4 linked regions of the Saccharomyces cerevisiae S288C genome follow. The main gene of each other region encodes a partner of the protein of the gene in region 4 in a complex. Each region holds a gene or a part of one and is shown on either strand. Other genes may lie near its edges. A codon is read from its position in the direction of its gene.

Evidence for each region.
Region 1: the proteins of RRP4 (region 4) and SKI6 are in contact, whole or in part, in a cryo-EM structure (PDB 5G06), measured with the Saccharomyces cerevisiae proteins. Residues at the interface, in NP_011936.1 of Saccharomyces cerevisiae: Phe14 (codon at 1,928), Gln15 (codon at 1,931), Ser50 (codon at 2,036), Asp51 (codon at 2,039), Ser52 (codon at 2,042), Val55 (codon at 2,051), Thr56 (codon at 2,054), Pro57 (codon at 2,057), Gly58 (codon at 2,060), Glu59 (codon at 2,063), Tyr74 (codon at 2,108), Ser83 (codon at 2,135), Val84 (codon at 2,138), Ala85 (codon at 2,141), Leu100 (codon at 2,186), Lys101 (codon at 2,189), Gly102 (codon at 2,192), Arg103 (codon at 2,195), Ala117 (codon at 2,237), Glu118 (codon at 2,240), Lys125 (codon at 2,261), Gly130 (codon at 2,276), Lys131 (codon at 2,279), Gln132 (codon at 2,282), His133 (codon at 2,285), Asp179 (codon at 2,423), Glu311 (codon at 2,819); in NP_011711.3 of Saccharomyces cerevisiae: Ser28 (codon at 1,807), Asn30 (codon at 1,813), Thr31 (codon at 1,816), Asp37 (codon at 1,834), Tyr41 (codon at 1,846), Ile50 (codon at 1,873), Pro56 (codon at 1,891), Lys57 (codon at 1,894), Glu58 (codon at 1,897), Arg60 (codon at 1,903), Lys62 (codon at 1,909), Met65 (codon at 1,918), Met113 (codon at 2,062), Ile116 (codon at 2,071), Tyr117 (codon at 2,074), Pro118 (codon at 2,077), Arg119 (codon at 2,080), Thr120 (codon at 2,083), Ile148 (codon at 2,167), Asp149 (codon at 2,170), Ala150 (codon at 2,173), Gly151 (codon at 2,176), Ser153 (codon at 2,182), Met154 (codon at 2,185), Phe155 (codon at 2,188), Asp156 (codon at 2,191), Tyr157 (codon at 2,194), Arg225 (codon at 2,398), Asp229 (codon at 2,410), Leu232 (codon at 2,419).
Region 2: RRP4 (region 4) and RRP40 share a complex: the UniProt entries of both Saccharomyces cerevisiae proteins name them as parts of the RNA exosome complex.
Region 3: RRP4 (region 4) and RRP6 share a complex: the UniProt entries of both Saccharomyces cerevisiae proteins name them as parts of the RNA exosome complex.

Annotation. Positions count from the first base shown.
Region 1 is NC_001139.9:887,157-890,795, forward strand, and holds SKI6 (exosome non-catalytic core subunit SKI6), read left to right. Parts: upstream 1-1,725; coding exon 1,726-2,466; downstream 2,467-3,639. Other genes in the region: XKS1 (xylulokinase), read right to left, coding at 1-719; FYV8 (Fyv8p), read right to left, coding at 2,577-3,639. UniProt on the Saccharomyces cerevisiae protein: Non-catalytic component of the RNA exosome complex which has 3'->5' exoribonuclease activity and participates in a multitude of cellular RNA processing and degradation events.
Region 2 is NC_001147.6:53,061-56,780, forward strand, and holds RRP40 (exosome non-catalytic core subunit RRP40), read left to right. Parts: upstream 1-2,497; coding exon 2,498-3,220; downstream 3,221-3,720. Other genes in the region: NOP8 (Nop8p), read left to right, coding at 38-1,492; lumazine synthase RIB4, read right to left, coding at 1,535-2,044; tRNA methyltransferase PPM2, read left to right, coding at 3,392-3,720. UniProt on the Saccharomyces cerevisiae protein: Non-catalytic component of the RNA exosome complex which has 3'->5' exoribonuclease activity and participates in a multitude of cellular RNA processing and degradation events.
Region 3 is NC_001147.6:324,307-329,739, forward strand, and holds RRP6 (exosome nuclease subunit RRP6), read left to right. Parts: upstream 1-2,525; coding exon 2,526-4,727; downstream 4,728-5,433. Other genes in the region: IZH2 (PAQR-type receptor), read right to left, coding at 1-58; PHO80 (Pho80p), read left to right, coding at 943-1,824; ALG6 (dolichyl-P-Glc:Man(9)GlcNAc(2)-PP-dolichol alpha-1,3-glucosyltransferase), read left to right, coding at 5,111-5,433. UniProt on the Saccharomyces cerevisiae protein: Nuclear-specific catalytic component of the RNA exosome complex which has 3'->5' exoribonuclease activity and participates in a multitude of cellular RNA processing and degradation events.
Region 4 is NC_001140.6:232,187-236,546, reverse strand, and holds RRP4 (exosome non-catalytic core subunit RRP4), read left to right. Parts: upstream 1-1,888; coding exon 1,889-2,968; downstream 2,969-4,360. Other genes in the region: TRM5 (tRNA (guanine) methyltransferase), read right to left, coding at 167-1,666; DYS1 (deoxyhypusine synthase), read right to left, coding at 3,251-4,360. UniProt on the Saccharomyces cerevisiae protein: Non-catalytic component of the RNA exosome complex which has 3'->5' exoribonuclease activity and participates in a multitude of cellular RNA processing and degradation events.

The sequences.
Region 1 (3,639 bases), on a different chromosome or scaffold from region 4:
TCACGTATATCATAAAGGTTCATACCACAGGCATCTGCCTCCTCTAATTCAACAAGATGGCCCACTAAGATAGAAGTCAAAAAATTAGACACTAAAGAAATGGTCTTTGTTTTTTCGTAAGCTTCTGGTTCTAATTGTGCAATTTTCAGAATTTGAGGACCAGTAAATCTAAAATGGGCTCTGGACCCTGTTAATTGAGCCATTTTTTCAGGCCCACCTATGCACTCTTCAAACTCTTGACATTGCTTTGCAGTACTGTGGTCTTGCCAATTGGGGGCGGTTTGCCTTGCAAATGCTACAGAGCTCACGTAGTGCAATAAATCTTTTTCCGGTTTCTTATTCAATTGCTCTAACAGAGATTCGGCTTGGGAGGACCAGTAGACAGACCCGTGCTGCTGGCAGGACCCTGAGACGGCCATAACTTTGTTCAATGGAAATTTAGCCTCGCGATATTTCGAGAGAACCAGATCTAGAGCCTCTAACCACATGGCTACGGGACATTCGATAGTGTCGCCGTGTATATAGACACCCTTCTTTGTGTGATAATGCGGAAGATCCTTTTCAAATTCCACTGTTTCTGAATGGACAATTTTTAGGTCCTGGTTAATGGCGAGACATTTCAGTTGTTGGGTCGAAAGATCAAACCCAAGATAGTATGAGTCTAAAGACATTGTGTTGGAAACCTCTCTTGTCTGTCTCTGAATTACTGAACACAACATTAAAGTACTAATCTCATCCTCCTTTTGTTTTTCTCGAGAGGGCCCCCTTATTCGTCCGCCTGAGATTGCATTGGCCGAATTGAAAAGTGACAGTTATGCACCTCAGCGGCTATTCCCTGCGTCGCTTGCTGAAGATTGAGGATTATAGGAAGTAGTAAGCTGGAAATGGTAATTTGTAAAAAGAAAATTTCTAATACTGTGACAATGTTATTAAATCGGGGTTGTTTTTGTTTGGGGCGGCCAGCGGAATAATTTGTTTTCAAGGACAGCAGAAGCTCAGAAGAACAAAATCTCCGTGATCTTTTAAACTTTTTTCCATTCTGATGGAATAATGGTCTTGATCCCCTAAATATTTCCTTTTTTATTGCAATTATGATAGAAATTAATAGTAGTCTATGCTGGATGATATATATATCTCTTTTGAGCTTGCTTCAAATTTTTTCCCGTTATAATGATGAGTGTTTTGCTTATTAAGGGTCTAGGACATTTCTATCAGTTTCTATACCAAAAGAAGAAAAAGTGGAGAATTGTTTGTTTATTTTAATATTTTGTTCTTTAGTTTTAAAAATTCAGAAGAGAAAAAAATTTTATTTGTCACAAGGAAATAAAACATAAACAAAAAAGAAAAATTAAGATTTGCAATTCTGCCGCTTAAGCAAAAGTAGATCATTCACTGGAATATATATATATAAACGCATTTATAATCTTGTAACGTGCACTCAATTTAGCTACGAAAGCCAACCAGCAAGGAACCTTTTATTTGAGTAGGTACATTTACATCTTCGGGTAACGCGGTGAAATTGAAAAATTTTAAGGCATTAATAATTGAAAAGCTAGAAGAAATGGATGAATGAATGACATTGCGAACCATTGTGCAATGAACATCATCCAAAAGAAAACATCATTTACACATATTTTCTTTCCAGGGTCCCACTGGTAAAATCTATTAACATATAAAAAGATTTACAAAAAAACTTTAGTGCCATAACTACAGCAGGATCATCATATGTCAAGACTAGAAATATACTCGCCAGAAGGGCTACGTCTCGATGGACGTCGATGGAATGAACTCCGCCGTTTTGAAAGTTCCATCAACACACATCCGCACGCTGCAGACGGTTCATCCTACATGGAACAAGGTAACAACAAAATTATCACTCTTGTTAAAGGTCCAAAAGAGCCAAGATTGAAATCTCAAATGGATACCTCAAAGGCTTTATTGAACGTATCGGTAAACATTACAAAATTCTCCAAATTCGAAAGAAGTAAATCAAGCCACAAGAATGAAAGGCGTGTTCTTGAGATACAAACCTCCCTGGTGAGGATGTTTGAGAAGAATGTCATGCTGAATATCTACCCCAGAACAGTTATCGATATCGAGATCCATGTCCTTGAGCAAGATGGCGGTATTATGGGATCTTTAATCAACGGTATTACCCTCGCTTTAATAGATGCCGGTATATCAATGTTCGATTACATAAGTGGTATATCCGTCGGGCTGTACGATACTACCCCATTATTAGATACCAATTCATTAGAAGAAAATGCTATGAGTACAGTGACACTAGGTGTGGTAGGGAAGTCAGAAAAACTTTCTCTTTTATTGGTGGAAGACAAAATTCCGTTAGATAGGTTAGAGAACGTTCTTGCCATCGGCATCGCAGGTGCTCATAGGGTAAGAGATTTGATGGATGAAGAACTGAGGAAACATGCTCAGAAAAGAGTCAGTAACGCCTCTGCTAGGTAGAATAAAAAACGCCATTAATTGCCACTGTTTATATAAAAGTACATAAAAAACAGTAAAATTGAAAATTGAACGCATTTACATTTTCGTGTTTCTACCGTAAAGCAAAACGCTTACAGTTTTTTCTTACCTATTGATGCGAATAAATCCTTTGGTTTCATAGAATGCTGGAAAACTTTTCTCCTTAAGTGCGTTACATTTTGGTTGACACTAGCAACCGTGTTAATGACAGTATGCTTCTTACTCAAATCGTCCGCGTTCGCATATGCTTCCCTAACGTGACTATGCTGCTTATACTCCTCAGCTATGAAATCCTTATCCTTATTAGAGGATGATTTTAGCGTATAATTTATCCATGTTTGTATCCCCGTATCATATTCATCTAGCTCACGCTTATAATTTCTCAACTGTTCTATCTTACCGGCGTGCGAAGTCTTACTGTTCAGTAGTTTATTCATATCTAATTTCGGTAAGTTATTCTGCTGCCCCAATTTCGCCATTTCTTCAGTACTGGGTTCATGGACGCTTGTCATTTCGCCTTGAGATACTGTTCTGTTTTCACTTTTGAAAGATGCACTGCGCGCTGCCAAATCATTGGCAGTATTGTTACTATTATCATTATCTGTTGTACTATTATCGTTTCCTGCATTTAATTGTTCCTGTGCGTCCATCGGTAGAGGTGGCAAATTCGATTGGTTACCAATCAAACCGGGAACATTATAAATCGTATTGTTGTCGTATATAGTCTTAGTGTCCCTGATTGTCTCCAAATCGTCATCTTCGCCTTTGGAAGGGAATGCATCCCAAGTACTCTCCATCTCTGAATAAGTCGATACAACACGTGGTTTCATACTAGCAGGTGTTAAATCTACTAGCTTCCCGTTAGAATCGATCACGTAACCTGGTGGCGCTTTCTTATTGGCTGTATCCTGTACGAACCCTGATCGTAAGGCCTCACTGTCCGGCTTCCAAGAATCAACATCAGTGGAGTCTTTAACTGAACTTTCTTCCAAAACTTTGTCTTCATTTATGTGGTCTTCCTCATCGCTGCCATCGCTGTTTTCCAATTCAGAACCGCTATTTGACAAATTGGTATTTTCAATGGTGTCTATTTGATTAGGTTGCAATGCTGAATCACCTTTATCATCATTACCAATCATTTTGGAGAAATAACCT
Region 2 (3,720 bases), on a different chromosome or scaffold from region 4:
GATTGTACCTGAAGTGAGAACTAGGTAATATACGACGATGGATAGTGTAATTCAAAAAAGAATTTTTGTCGGAAATATTTTCCATAATGCAGATGATTGTTATTCAGAACTACTAGATCGATTTGGAAAATTTGGTGATTGCCAAGATTTTCAGTTTGAAAAACACAACCACTTTGCATTTATCGATATAAGGTTTAATGATGAGGCAGATTTTAACAAGCTAAGAAAGAGCTTTAATAATGTTAAGTTTAAAGGGAACATTTTGAAGGTTGATGAAGCAAAGCCGAATTGGGAAAGCACCTGGGCGGTACAACATGCAAAGGACCTTAAAGAAGATATTATACTAAATGCTAAAATGAAAAAAAAGAATTGGCAACATTATAAGAAAATGGAAAATGTAGCGAAAAGTTGGAAAGATCATAAGGAAGTTATTGCTGGCAGAATGAGGGAGGCGCCGAGAAAAAGGAGTCAATTGAGGAACATTACATTCAGGATCAATGTCAATGGTTCATTGAAAGTTTACAAATGCTATAAGACTAAATTATGGGGTTATGAAAGGAACAAAGAATTGAATGACCTTGTGTACAAGTTTACAAATAATTTCTGGAAAAACGGATACAACCACATTGTCGATAGATTGGATTACAGTCGTGCTGTTAAAACTGTTCGATTCAAAAATGGGCTGAAACAGTTAACAGTGTCAAAAGATGAAAACGTTTGCAGTGGAGAGATGGACAGCGATGAGAATATGTCAGAAGAGGAGAAGGAGAAAAATAATGTTATTCTTAATGACCTATTAAAGGACTTTGACTTCGATAAGCCAATGACGTTGAATGATTCGGACGAGGAACTTCTGACAGAGCAACGTAAAGGAGAGGAAGAAGAAGAAGAAGAAGAAGAAAAAGAAGTAAACGCTCCCGAATACGAGAATGTTAATAAGACGAAGGACCAGAGCACCCTACCACAAGAAAAACCAGAGGAAAGGAAAGAACAGGACGAGGGCGACGGGCAGGAGGATAATGAATTTATTCCGACTTTCACCAAGGAAATTGGTCAAGGTACAATAAGCAACACTGAGACGTTAAGAAACCTATTCAACCCCAACGAGGCAGAACCTGTATCACAATTCAAATTGATTGAAGATTCTGATAATGATATTGATCATGCGAAAGATGTTGATGTGAACCAACTGGAGGAAGAAGTAAGTAAATCATCTGACACCCTAGGTTTGACATCGGCTCCCGTACCACATGTATCTAGAGATAAAGATAACAAAAATTTCTTGTTTTTCCCTCATTTGCAATCGCCATTTTTAGTAGGACAAACACAGTTGAGTAAAGTAAGGGCTCCTGGAAGAGAAACAATGCTATCGAACTGGGATGAGGAGTTCTGGGCTAACAGAGGTAATTGGACCCGTGATATGAGGCGCAAAATGAAAGATGCATTGAAGCACCGTAAGAGGAAACAATCAAAGAGCGGGCTTCTTCTATAGTGAGTATATATACATATATAGTATAGATTTCTCTGCGCTTATTCAAAAAGCATTTTTACCGAACTTAACAGCCATTTCCACTGCTGCAGCACCCCAATCTTCACCATGGTTGTGCATGGAGTGCGCTTCATCGATGCCAGCTCTGGCCAGGGCTTGTTCTTCAGTCATGCAAGTTAAGAGGCCAAAAATGACGGGCATGTCGACTTTTTCTTGTAAGTTCATCAATGCGTGAGTGGTGGAATCTGAAATGTATTCAAAGTGCATTGTACTACCTTTGATAAGTACACCAATAGGAATTACAACATCTAGCGGCTTTCCCAACTTCGCTTGTCTGTCAACAAACCTTTTTGTCCCCCAAGGTAATTCATAGGATCCAGGAACAGTTTCAATTATTATGTTATTTTCCTCGACACCAAGGGAAGCCATTCTTTCAATAGCACCTTTCACAAGAGCGTCAATAATGACACGGTTCCAACGGGCATGAATGATACCGACCCTGATTTTGGAACCGTCATAAACTTGATCTGGTTTGCCTAATCCTTTAACTGCCATACTGCGTTATACTGCGTTATACTGCGTTATACTGCGTTATACTGTTCCTTTTCATGCTTTTGAACCCACTCTCTGGGGCAATATTTCATTGTTCTCTTTTATATGGCTACTTTTCTCTTATTAACGGGGACCTCCGAAAATATCTCCGCTCCCAGAATATGTCATAGAGCCTTAAGAATTGACCTACGGGAACCTCCGAAAACCTCCCAGAGTTTTAATTATACGTCATAGAACCCCAGACCTCTTCGATGAAGTTTCGTGGAAACTAGTTCCATCCACCTCACTTAAAGTTACCTTAATGAAAGCCATCATTGTTTACTAGTAAGGGTAGTGGTGTGACCCGGACCTGATCGGCTGAAATTTTTTGGTTTAGAGAAGCATATTAAACCAACAGCACAAACGGATGCTTCAGCAGCTCATCTCCAGCATTTCGACTAACCAAGAGCATACAAGATGTCTACGTTCATATTCCCTGGTGATAGCTTTCCTGTAGACCCTACTACACCTGTTAAACTGGGCCCTGGCATATATTGTGACCCCAATACTCAAGAAATACGACCTGTTAATACAGGTGTTTTGCATGTTTCCGCTAAGGGTAAGAGTGGTGTTCAGACCGCATATATAGACTATTCTAGTAAGAGATACATTCCATCTGTAAACGATTTTGTAATCGGTGTCATTATAGGGACATTTTCAGATAGCTATAAGGTTTCGTTGCAAAATTTCTCCTCCAGTGTTTCACTATCGTATATGGCTTTTCCCAATGCTTCAAAGAAAAACAGGCCAACTTTGCAAGTGGGAGATCTAGTGTATGCGAGAGTTTGTACCGCAGAAAAGGAACTAGAAGCCGAAATAGAATGTTTTGACTCAACTACAGGACGCGATGCTGGTTTCGGGATATTGGAAGATGGTATGATCATTGACGTGAATTTGAATTTCGCACGCCAGTTGCTTTTCAATAATGACTTCCCGTTATTAAAAGTGTTGGCTGCACATACCAAGTTTGAAGTCGCCATTGGTCTCAATGGGAAGATCTGGGTTAAGTGCGAGGAATTATCTAACACTTTAGCTTGTTATAGAACCATAATGGAGTGTTGTCAAAAAAACGACACGGCAGCGTTCAAGGATATAGCAAAAAGACAGTTTAAAGAAATACTTACGGTCAAGGAGGAGTAGACTACCATGTATAATTAAAATATATAAACACATAGATATCATCAATATTTCACGTCCTTTTTTAATGTCCTTTGAAAAAGCGAAGGAAAAAAAGTTTCATCTCATCTCATCTCATCACATCTAACATATGGCCATAAAATTTCGACAACTATAGTGCACATATCTAATACGATGAAGAATCTGACCACTATAAAGCAAACGAACAAGAATGTCAAACAAGAAAGACGTAAAAAGTACGCTGATTTGGCGATTCAAGGCACAAATAACTCCTCAATTGCTTCTAAAAGATCGGTAGAGTTATTGTATTTGCCAAAACTGAGTTCGGCTAATAATTTCCAAATGGATAAGAATAATAAACTGTTGGAATATTTTAAATTCTTTGTTCCTAAGAAAATTAAAAGATCTCCCTGTATTAACAGAGGTTATTGGTTGAGGTTATTTGCCATCAGGTCAAGATTGAACTCCATCATTGAACAAACGCCACAGGATAAAAAGATAGT
Region 3 (5,433 bases), on a different chromosome or scaffold from region 4:
CTGCAGCTCTCTTCTTCAGCTCTTGCACACTCTTAGTCCTTTCTAATAAAGTTGACATTTGGAATGATTCTTCTCCAACATGCAGCATAATTAAAACGACGGGAAATTTAGTACATTTGGCTCAAGGAACGCTGACATAAATACTATTTCTAATCTACTATTCGAAGAGATGTTGGATTTCTAAAAAAAAAAGAGCTCAACAACGGAAGACCGCCTATTAACCCCGAGTGTCTGTTTTTTAGTATACTCGAAGCAAACAAGAAAAGTTTGTTACTTAATTTCTGGCCTAAACAAGGTAGTGCTACCCTAGAGGAAGTACGATATCAGTACACTTTTGTATTTTTAACGAATTATGGTATTCTTTAAAATATTTAACATGCTATCGAGTTTTTCTTTCTAAAATGCGGTTTCAAAATTTGAGTCCGCTTTCTATGGAAAATATGAATGAGGCGAACGTGCTTGTACCATAGTCAGATTTTAACCCGTAGGTGAGAGCCTGAGGCTTCTGTAAACCACCTTGGAAACACATACGGGTTATAAGATTTTAACAAACAATCAGTCTCCATACTCATCCTAGGATCTCTTCTTCATTTGATGAATAAAGGATTCAAACTTCAGAAAGTTATTCAGCGTATATTGGCTTTCCTTTAATCTAATGCCCCAAGCCATCATAAATAGCCATATTACTTTGAAAGTGCTCATCCGTATACACTGCAACTTTTCTTCTTTTCTCTTTAGCCGATTATAGCTCCTACCTGTTTTTTTTTTCTTCTTAAGATTATTTATATTCCAATTTTATCATCCGTATTGTTTCCAATAGCGTTCCAGTGATCAGTTATATACTTCGAGAGGCAGATAACCTTTCTTTTTATAAGTGTTTATCAAATTTAAGTCTGCAAGCTATCATAAGACGAGGATATCCTTTGGAGACTCATAGAAATCATGGAAAGCACATCAGGAGAACGTTCCGAAAATATACATGAGGATCAAGGGATACCAAAAGTAATTCTGCCCGCTGATTTTAATAAATGCTCTAGAACTGACCTAGTGGTGCTCATATCACGAATGTTAGTATCGCTGATAGCAATCAATGAAAATTCAGCAACAAAGAAATCTGATGACCAAATTACTTTAACACGATACCATTCTAAGATTCCTCCAAACATATCAATCTTCAACTATTTCATACGACTGACAAAGTTTTCCTCTTTAGAACATTGTGTGCTTATGACATCACTCTATTATATCGATTTATTGCAAACTGTGTATCCTGATTTTACGCTTAATTCGTTGACTGCCCATAGGTTTTTATTAACAGCCACCACAGTCGCAACAAAAGGCTTATGTGATTCGTTCTCAACAAACGCCCATTATGCAAAAGTTGGAGGAGTACGATGTCACGAATTGAATATACTGGAGAACGATTTTTTAAAGAGAGTAAACTACAGAATCATTCCGCGGGATCATAACATTACGTTATGTAGTATAGAGCAAAAACAGAAAAAGTTTGTCATAGATAAAAACGCATTAGGGTCTCTCGATTTGGATTCTTATTCTTACGTTAATCGTCCAAAAAGTGGATATAATGTTCTAGATAAATACTATCGAAGAATAGTTCAGCTGGTGGGTTCCTTTAACGCTTCACCTGATAAGAGTAGAAAGGTTGATTATGTTCTCCCGCCAAATATTGATATAGTGAGTGAAAGTGGCTCCCAAACTACTCAACTAAAGGGGTCGTCATCACCCAATTCTCACTCTTCACAAAAGCGATATTCTGAGGCAAAGGACGCACATATCTATAACAAGCGATCAAAGCCAGATTAATGATTTTTCGTGGGGTATTATGAAAGCAATCATGATTGAGCAAAATTAAAACTTTCCATTTGTACATATATATATATATATATATATATATCTGTGTGTGTATAATAAGCAATTGGCCATCATTTGGCTAAAAAGTTCAAGATTTCAGGTAGTATATAAGAGAATAACTTCCCTCTTTTGCTAAAGAAGGATATGTTCTATTTCAGCCTTTTTGCATCATAAGAGCATAAGCGACAGAAAACACTTCGAGATGAGCTTGAGAACTCCATTTCAATTAACTTGATAAATACATGTAGATTCATATCATCACTGTTCTTTTCAGATACTAGTTTCAAAACTTCCTTGACAGAACCATTTCATGTTCAATAATGAAAATTACTTTCACATGTTTTAGTGGAAAAATACTGAACAATGAAATTTCAATATCGCATATAATAATTTTTGTTATCAAATATATATTTTTCGGAAGTCATATACATTAAATAATTAAAACATTATTTTTAAAAATTAAAAAAATATATTTTAGCAAATAGTTTTTACTTTTTTTTAAATGCAAAATAAGTTCACGTGATATTATTAATAATATTTTACCCAAAAATATGAGGGCATCGGAAAATTTTTCAGTAATGAATATTAATGTTCATCTGAAGATAGACGAAATAGGAACAACAAACAGCTTATAAGCACCCAATAAGTGCGTTATGACTTCTGAAAATCCGGATGTACTTTTATCTAGGGTGATAAATGTGGTGAGAGCAGCATCATCGTTAGCCAGTCAAGATGTAGACTTTTACAAGAATTTAGACAGGGGATTTAGTAAAGATCTGAAATCAAAAGCAGACAAACTTGCGGATATGGCGAATGAAATAATCCTCTCTATTGATGAGCATCATGAATCATTTGAACTTAAAGAAGAGGACATTTCTGACTTGTGGAACAACTTTGGAAACATCATGGATAATTTGTTAGAAATGTCAGACCATTCGCTGGATAAGCTGAATTGTGCAATAAACTCAAAGTCAAGAGGTTCCGATCTTCAGTATTTAGGCGAATTTTCAGGAAAGAATTTTTCTCCCACCAAAAGAGTCGAAAAACCTCAGTTGAAATTTAAAAGTCCAATTGATAACAGCGAAAGTCATCCGTTCATACCTTTATTGAAGGAAAAACCAAATGCTTTGAAGCCACTCTCTGAGAGTTTGAGGTTGGTTGATGATGATGAAAATAACCCCAGTCACTACCCCCATCCTTATGAATATGAGATTGATCATCAAGAGTATAGTCCAGAAATTCTCCAAATTAGAGAGGAGATTCCCTCAAAATCCTGGGATGATTCGGTACCAATTTGGGTAGATACAAGTACAGAACTCGAATCAATGTTGGAGGACTTGAAAAATACGAAAGAGATTGCCGTTGATCTTGAGCATCACGATTATAGGTCATACTATGGTATTGTTTGCCTCATGCAAATTAGTACAAGGGAAAGGGATTATTTAGTTGATACTCTAAAACTTCGCGAAAATTTACATATTCTGAACGAAGTGTTTACGAACCCTTCAATTGTGAAAGTTTTTCACGGTGCATTCATGGATATTATTTGGCTTCAGCGAGATTTAGGTTTGTATGTCGTTGGTCTCTTCGATACTTACCATGCGTCTAAAGCAATCGGTCTTCCTAGACATAGTTTGGCCTATCTTTTGGAGAATTTTGCCAATTTTAAAACTTCAAAGAAATATCAGTTGGCTGACTGGCGTATAAGACCGCTTTCAAAACCCATGACGGCATATGCTAGAGCAGATACTCACTTTTTACTAAATATATATGACCAGTTGAGAAACAAACTTATCGAGTCTAATAAGTTAGCAGGTGTTCTTTATGAATCAAGAAATGTCGCAAAAAGAAGGTTTGAATATTCAAAGTACAGACCACTGACACCTTCTTCAGAAGTTTATTCTCCAATCGAAAAAGAGAGTCCTTGGAAAATATTGATGTATCAGTACAACATACCACCTGAGAGGGAAGTATTAGTAAGAGAGCTATACCAATGGAGAGATCTTATTGCAAGAAGAGACGATGAATCGCCACGATTTGTTATGCCAAACCAGTTATTGGCTGCACTTGTCGCATATACACCTACTGATGTCATAGGTGTTGTTTCTTTGACCAATGGCGTAACTGAACATGTCCGCCAGAATGCAAAACTATTAGCTAATTTGATAAGAGATGCATTACGAAACATCAAGAACACCAATGAGGAAGCTACTCCCATTCCATCTTCCGAGACCAAAGCAGACGGAATATTGTTGGAGACTATAAGTGTTCCTCAAATCCGTGATGTTATGGAAAGGTTTTCGGTGTTGTGCAACAGCAATATTTCCAAGAGCCGAGCCAAGCCTGTCACTAATTCTTCTATTCTGTTGGGTAAGATTTTACCACGTGAGGAGCATGATATTGCATATAGCAAAGACGGCTTGCCAAATAAAGTGAAGACGGAAGATATCAGGATCCGAGCACAAAATTTCAAGTCTGCCTTAGCAAACTTGGAGGATATCATATTCGAAATAGAGAAACCTCTCGTTGTTCCTGTCAAGCTAGAGGAGATTAAGACAGTAGACCCTGCGAGCGCACCTAATCACTCGCCTGAGATTGATAATCTTGATGATCTTGTTGTTTTAAAGAAGAAAAACATTCAAAAGAAACAACCAGCAAAGGAAAAAGGTGTAACGGAAAAAGATGCTGTGGATTATTCAAAAATTCCGAATATCTTATCTAATAAGCCTGGCCAAAATAATAGACAACAAAAGAAAAGGAGATTCGACCCATCATCTAGCGATAGTAATGGACCAAGGGCAGCTAAAAAGAGGAGGCCTGCCGCCAAAGGTAAGAATCTGTCATTTAAAAGGTGATTATGTAAAACAAGCGTATTTTTTTATTTATAAATTATGGTAATTTTCATTTAAGACCTCTAAATTCATCTAATCGAATATCTGTGTCATGGAGTTATGGCTCCCCCATGCACACCATTTTCTCTTTTTTTGTTTCTGTGTTTCCCTTCATCTCCTTTATTATGAAAAGTACAAGTTTTATATAATTTCAACGTCGGAGGTTATCCGGAAATCTATAGTTGAATTTTTGCAGGATTATACTTCGCTCGAATATTGTGCGTGTTAAATACTCAGCGAGAACAATACTTCCAAGTTAGAAAAGGGATTTGCTCATGTTAAAGCAATGGCACTCCGAATGGACGGTGTCAGGAATTCTTTTCTTCACATCAGGCTTCGCATAGAAAATGGCCATTGGCAAAAGGTTACTGGTGAACAAACCAGCAGAAGAATCATTTTATGCTTCTCCAATGTATGATTTTTTGTATCCGTTTAGGCCAGTGGGGAACCAATGGCTGCCAGAATATATTATCTTTGTATGTGCTGTAATACTGAGGTGCACAATTGGACTTGGTCCATATTCTGGGAAAGGCAGTCCACCGCTGTACGGCGATTTTGAGGCTCAGAGACATTGGATGGAAATTACGCAACATTTACCGCTTTCTAAGTGGTACTGGTATGATTTGCAATACTGGGGATTGGACTATCCACCATTAACAGCATTTCATTC
Region 4 (4,360 bases):
TAACAGAAGACGGGTTGTGTTGTATTCAAGTAGTATGACGCATCGCGCAGTGCCCTGTCAGCCCCGCGCCTTCTCGAAGATAAAGGTGTTAGTCATCTCGTTTCTTTTTCTAATGGTCGCCTTTTTGCCTTTTTCCTCCCACGGCAAACTGCAAGAGCAGATCGCTTCATACGTTAGCTGGAAGTTGGAAACTCGCGCAATACATCGGTTTGGTGGGTGCAACTTTGCGCACCAAATGCAACGAAACGGCATTCAACGGAAGATCGTCTGCAGTGACCTTGAGCGCGGCAATAATACGGGCATGAACGCGTGCATGCAACTCGTCCTCAGTGACTTGGTCGCCAGGCGGGTACTTCTCAAAACAGTGCACGTGCACCCATGGCATTTGGATGGTATCAGTGGCGCCTTTAGTGTGTGCTGCAAAGATGCCACGGAAGTTTCCTAAGAAAGAAATGGCGCTGTCTGGTAGATTCATGACATAGTGGCTAATATGTGACGGAATGATCAGCTCTTTGGTGCGTGGTTGTGGCGGTTGTTGGTCATTGTGTTGCTGGGATCTGTGTCGTTTCTTCAAAGGCAGAGGGATCGTGATCTTGCCGCCCTCTTCATCTTGAATCCACTGTTGTAATAACTGTGGCGACTGGCGGATGAAGTCAGCGCCATCCATGTTGAAGGATTTGACGGTCTTGGCCACTTTGTTCAATGCGATGTTCTCCTTCAAGTATTTGTAACTCTCAGGATTCAAGTCGTTAGCCAAAACGATGACATCCTTCTTGCCCGCAGGTACAGCAAAGGGCCCCACGCCGGCGAAAACATCACAGACTACTTGGCCAGGCTGGAAGTACTGTTTGACGAGTCTTTCATGCTCTGTGTGCAATCGGGAGTTCCAGTACACCTTGCTAAAGTCGAATTTGAAAGTGCAGTTGGATTCCTTCTGCTCTACCACTAGACTATCGCTTTTCCCAGCAATGACTTTCATAGGAAAAGTCCTGAACTGTGTGGCAATGGAGCTGACTTTGTCCACGACACATTCGATTTTGTTGTTCTTGTCAAGGATGACTTGTCCGATGAGCGAGTCGAATGGTTTGAACTCGGTGCGCAAGTTCAAGTGGGCAATGTGGCCTGTGATTGTAAAACCCGTTGGAACCTCTTCCAGGAATTGCTCGGGCAGCACGGCTCGAAGAATCTCCTCAGCTTTCCAGAAATCATAATCGAGCACGTATTCGTGTGGTACAATTTCCGCACTGTTTTCCTTAAGAAACGCCAAGGCGTCCTCAGGCAATTTTCCATACGCATCCTCCACGCTGTGGATGGATTCGTGTAGCAGCACACCTTTCGTGACTGGGGTATTATTGCCATCTGCAGTCTTTAGTTTCTTGTTCTGTACACTTGTCAGTTCGTCCTTTGGCTTGGATGAGTTTAACTTAACAACGTGCGGGATACGGGGCACCCTCAAGATGCAATTTTTGAAGTTTTTAGAAAACACACTGATATTTTTGGGTTCGGGGAACTTGACTGCACACATTGGTATCTTGGTGATGAAAAATGACCTATCCAATTCTCGCATTTGGCGATTCACGGGTGGGTTGTATGGGAACACTCCTGACATCTTGCACGAACTGATCAATCTATTAAATTTTTGGAATACTGGCAGTGCGATTTTCATGCAATGAAAAATATCCTTACCTTTACTTATGGTTTAAACTGGTTTGTTCAAATATCCTCAGTGAATCTTTTTTTTTCTTTTTCTTCCTCAGTATGGATTGAGCGATGAGGTGAAAAAAAAAAAAAAATTAAGAAAACTAAAACAAAAGTAGAAGAAAAATATCCTTCCTTAAGTACTGCTTGCATTCTAAATCTTTGCGTAGTCACACAAGCGTAAACAGATATGTCCGAAGTTATCACAATTACCAAGCGGAACGGTGCCTTCCAAAATTCATCTAACCTGTCCTATAACAACACAGGGATATCAGATGATGAAAATGATGAAGAAGATATCTACATGCACGATGTTAACTCAGCTTCTAAAAGTGAGTCTGATTCTCAAATTGTGACGCCAGGTGAGCTGGTCACTGATGACCCTATCTGGATGAGAGGTCACGGTACGTATTTTCTTGATAATATGACGTATTCCTCTGTTGCTGGTACTGTATCCCGTGTCAATAGGCTGCTATCGGTAATTCCATTGAAAGGTCGTTATGCCCCAGAAACTGGTGATCACGTCGTAGGGAGAATTGCTGAAGTGGGTAACAAGAGATGGAAAGTAGACATTGGCGGTAAGCAACATGCAGTACTTATGTTGGGCTCTGTGAATTTACCGGGTGGTATTCTAAGAAGAAAATCTGAAAGTGATGAACTACAAATGAGAAGCTTCCTTAAGGAAGGTGACCTCCTGAATGCAGAAGTTCAATCATTATTTCAAGATGGTAGTGCCTCTTTACATACAAGGTCTCTAAAGTACGGGAAGTTAAGAAACGGGATGTTTTGCCAAGTCCCGAGTTCATTAATAGTGAGAGCCAAGAACCATACTCATAATTTGCCCGGCAACATAACCGTAGTTCTCGGAGTCAATGGTTACATATGGTTAAGGAAAACATCTCAGATGGACTTAGCGAGGGATACGCCGTCTGCAAATAACAGTTCCTCAATTAAATCAACTGGACCCACTGGTGCGGTATCATTAAATCCCTCCATAACAAGACTGGAAGAAGAGTCTTCATGGCAAATATATTCGGATGAAAACGATCCTTCCATATCGAACAACATACGACAAGCAATTTGCCGGTATGCGAACGTGATCAAAGCGTTAGCGTTCTGTGAAATAGGCATTACTCAACAACGTATAGTAAGTGCTTACGAAGCTAGTATGGTTTATTCAAACGTAGGTGAACTGATTGAGAAAAATGTAATGGAATCCATAGGCAGTGACATTCTTACCGCCGAAAAAATGAGAGGTAACGGCAACTAATAGGAATACAAAAGCCGCTGTTTACACATTTATAAACTACACAGCAGACTCCAACGCAATTTATGTGTATAAACTTACATAATGTCATGGCTATGTACACACGATTAGTACGTATAGAAATGCAATTGACTCATCTTTATTGCAGACATTACATCATATTTTGTTGATATTATAGTAATATGTTCATTTTTTTATTTATCTCTATATTAAAACAAAACTTTTGCACTAAAAAAAGAAATAGTACAGATTCATTTTTTTTTTTTTCATCTCAAAATTCTCTCATCAATTCTTAACTTTTTTGATTGGTTTACCACTGGCAAAGGTAGCAGCAACAATCAATGGAAGAACAGTGGTGACATCAGCAAAAAGTTTGACGGATTTGGCTTCAGCCTTGATCTTACCCCAAGACACAGCTTCGTCAGGTCTTGCACCTGCATCAGAACCATCGTATTCTTGACCAGTGTTAATGTAAACGGCATAATCAGCACCATTTCTCATCAAACAAGCATTGGCAATGTGGTGCTTGATCAAACCACCACCCAAGATGATCATACCGGCTCTGTAAGCGGCCATGGACATTGAATTGATTTTGCGGATATCTCCTACAATGTCAACTCTTAGTTGTTTTGGAGATGCTTTAAAAGTATGGAAAAACAACATGTCACCGATTGAACCATCAGTCAAAGATGGACAAAAGATTGGAATTTTATTCTTGTGGGCCCAGTACAATACGGAGGATTCGTCGTTGATTTCCTTACCAAAACGATCTATCATCTTAGATGGGGTCCAGATTGGTGAATCCACGTCTTGGTTAGCCTCTAAACAGTCAGCGCCATGTTTCTTTACGTATTCATCTTGTTCTTCCAACATCTTATCCAAAATTGGGACAATCCATTCTTCAAACTTACAGTAGTTATCATTTGGAACAAGCAAGTTACCAATACGATTCATACCTTGGTCACGCAAAGATTTACCTTTCAAAGCAAATTCACCCAAGTAAGTTGGAGCAAGACATTTGATCAAATCTTCTTCCACACCACCAGCAGAAGTAACGACAGCATCAACCATTTTGTGTTGCACCAAATAACGTAAAGTTTCACGTACACCGGAACTGATCAAGTTAGAAGTATAACCCATGAAGATAGTAGTCTTTTGGTACCCTTCCTCATCGAAGCAACCTTTCTTTTCATGGTCATCCAATTCGTCAATATGCTTACCTCTCCATGATCTCATACTATCAATAATCTCACAGGCAGTACCAACAGAACTAGCTTGGAAACCCATGGTCTTCATAGCTTCAATTAAATCAGTTGCTCTCATATTAGTGGCTTCAGGCTTTGAGTAATCAATACCTTGAACCTTAACGAAGTCATCTGGAATAGGAACAGATGC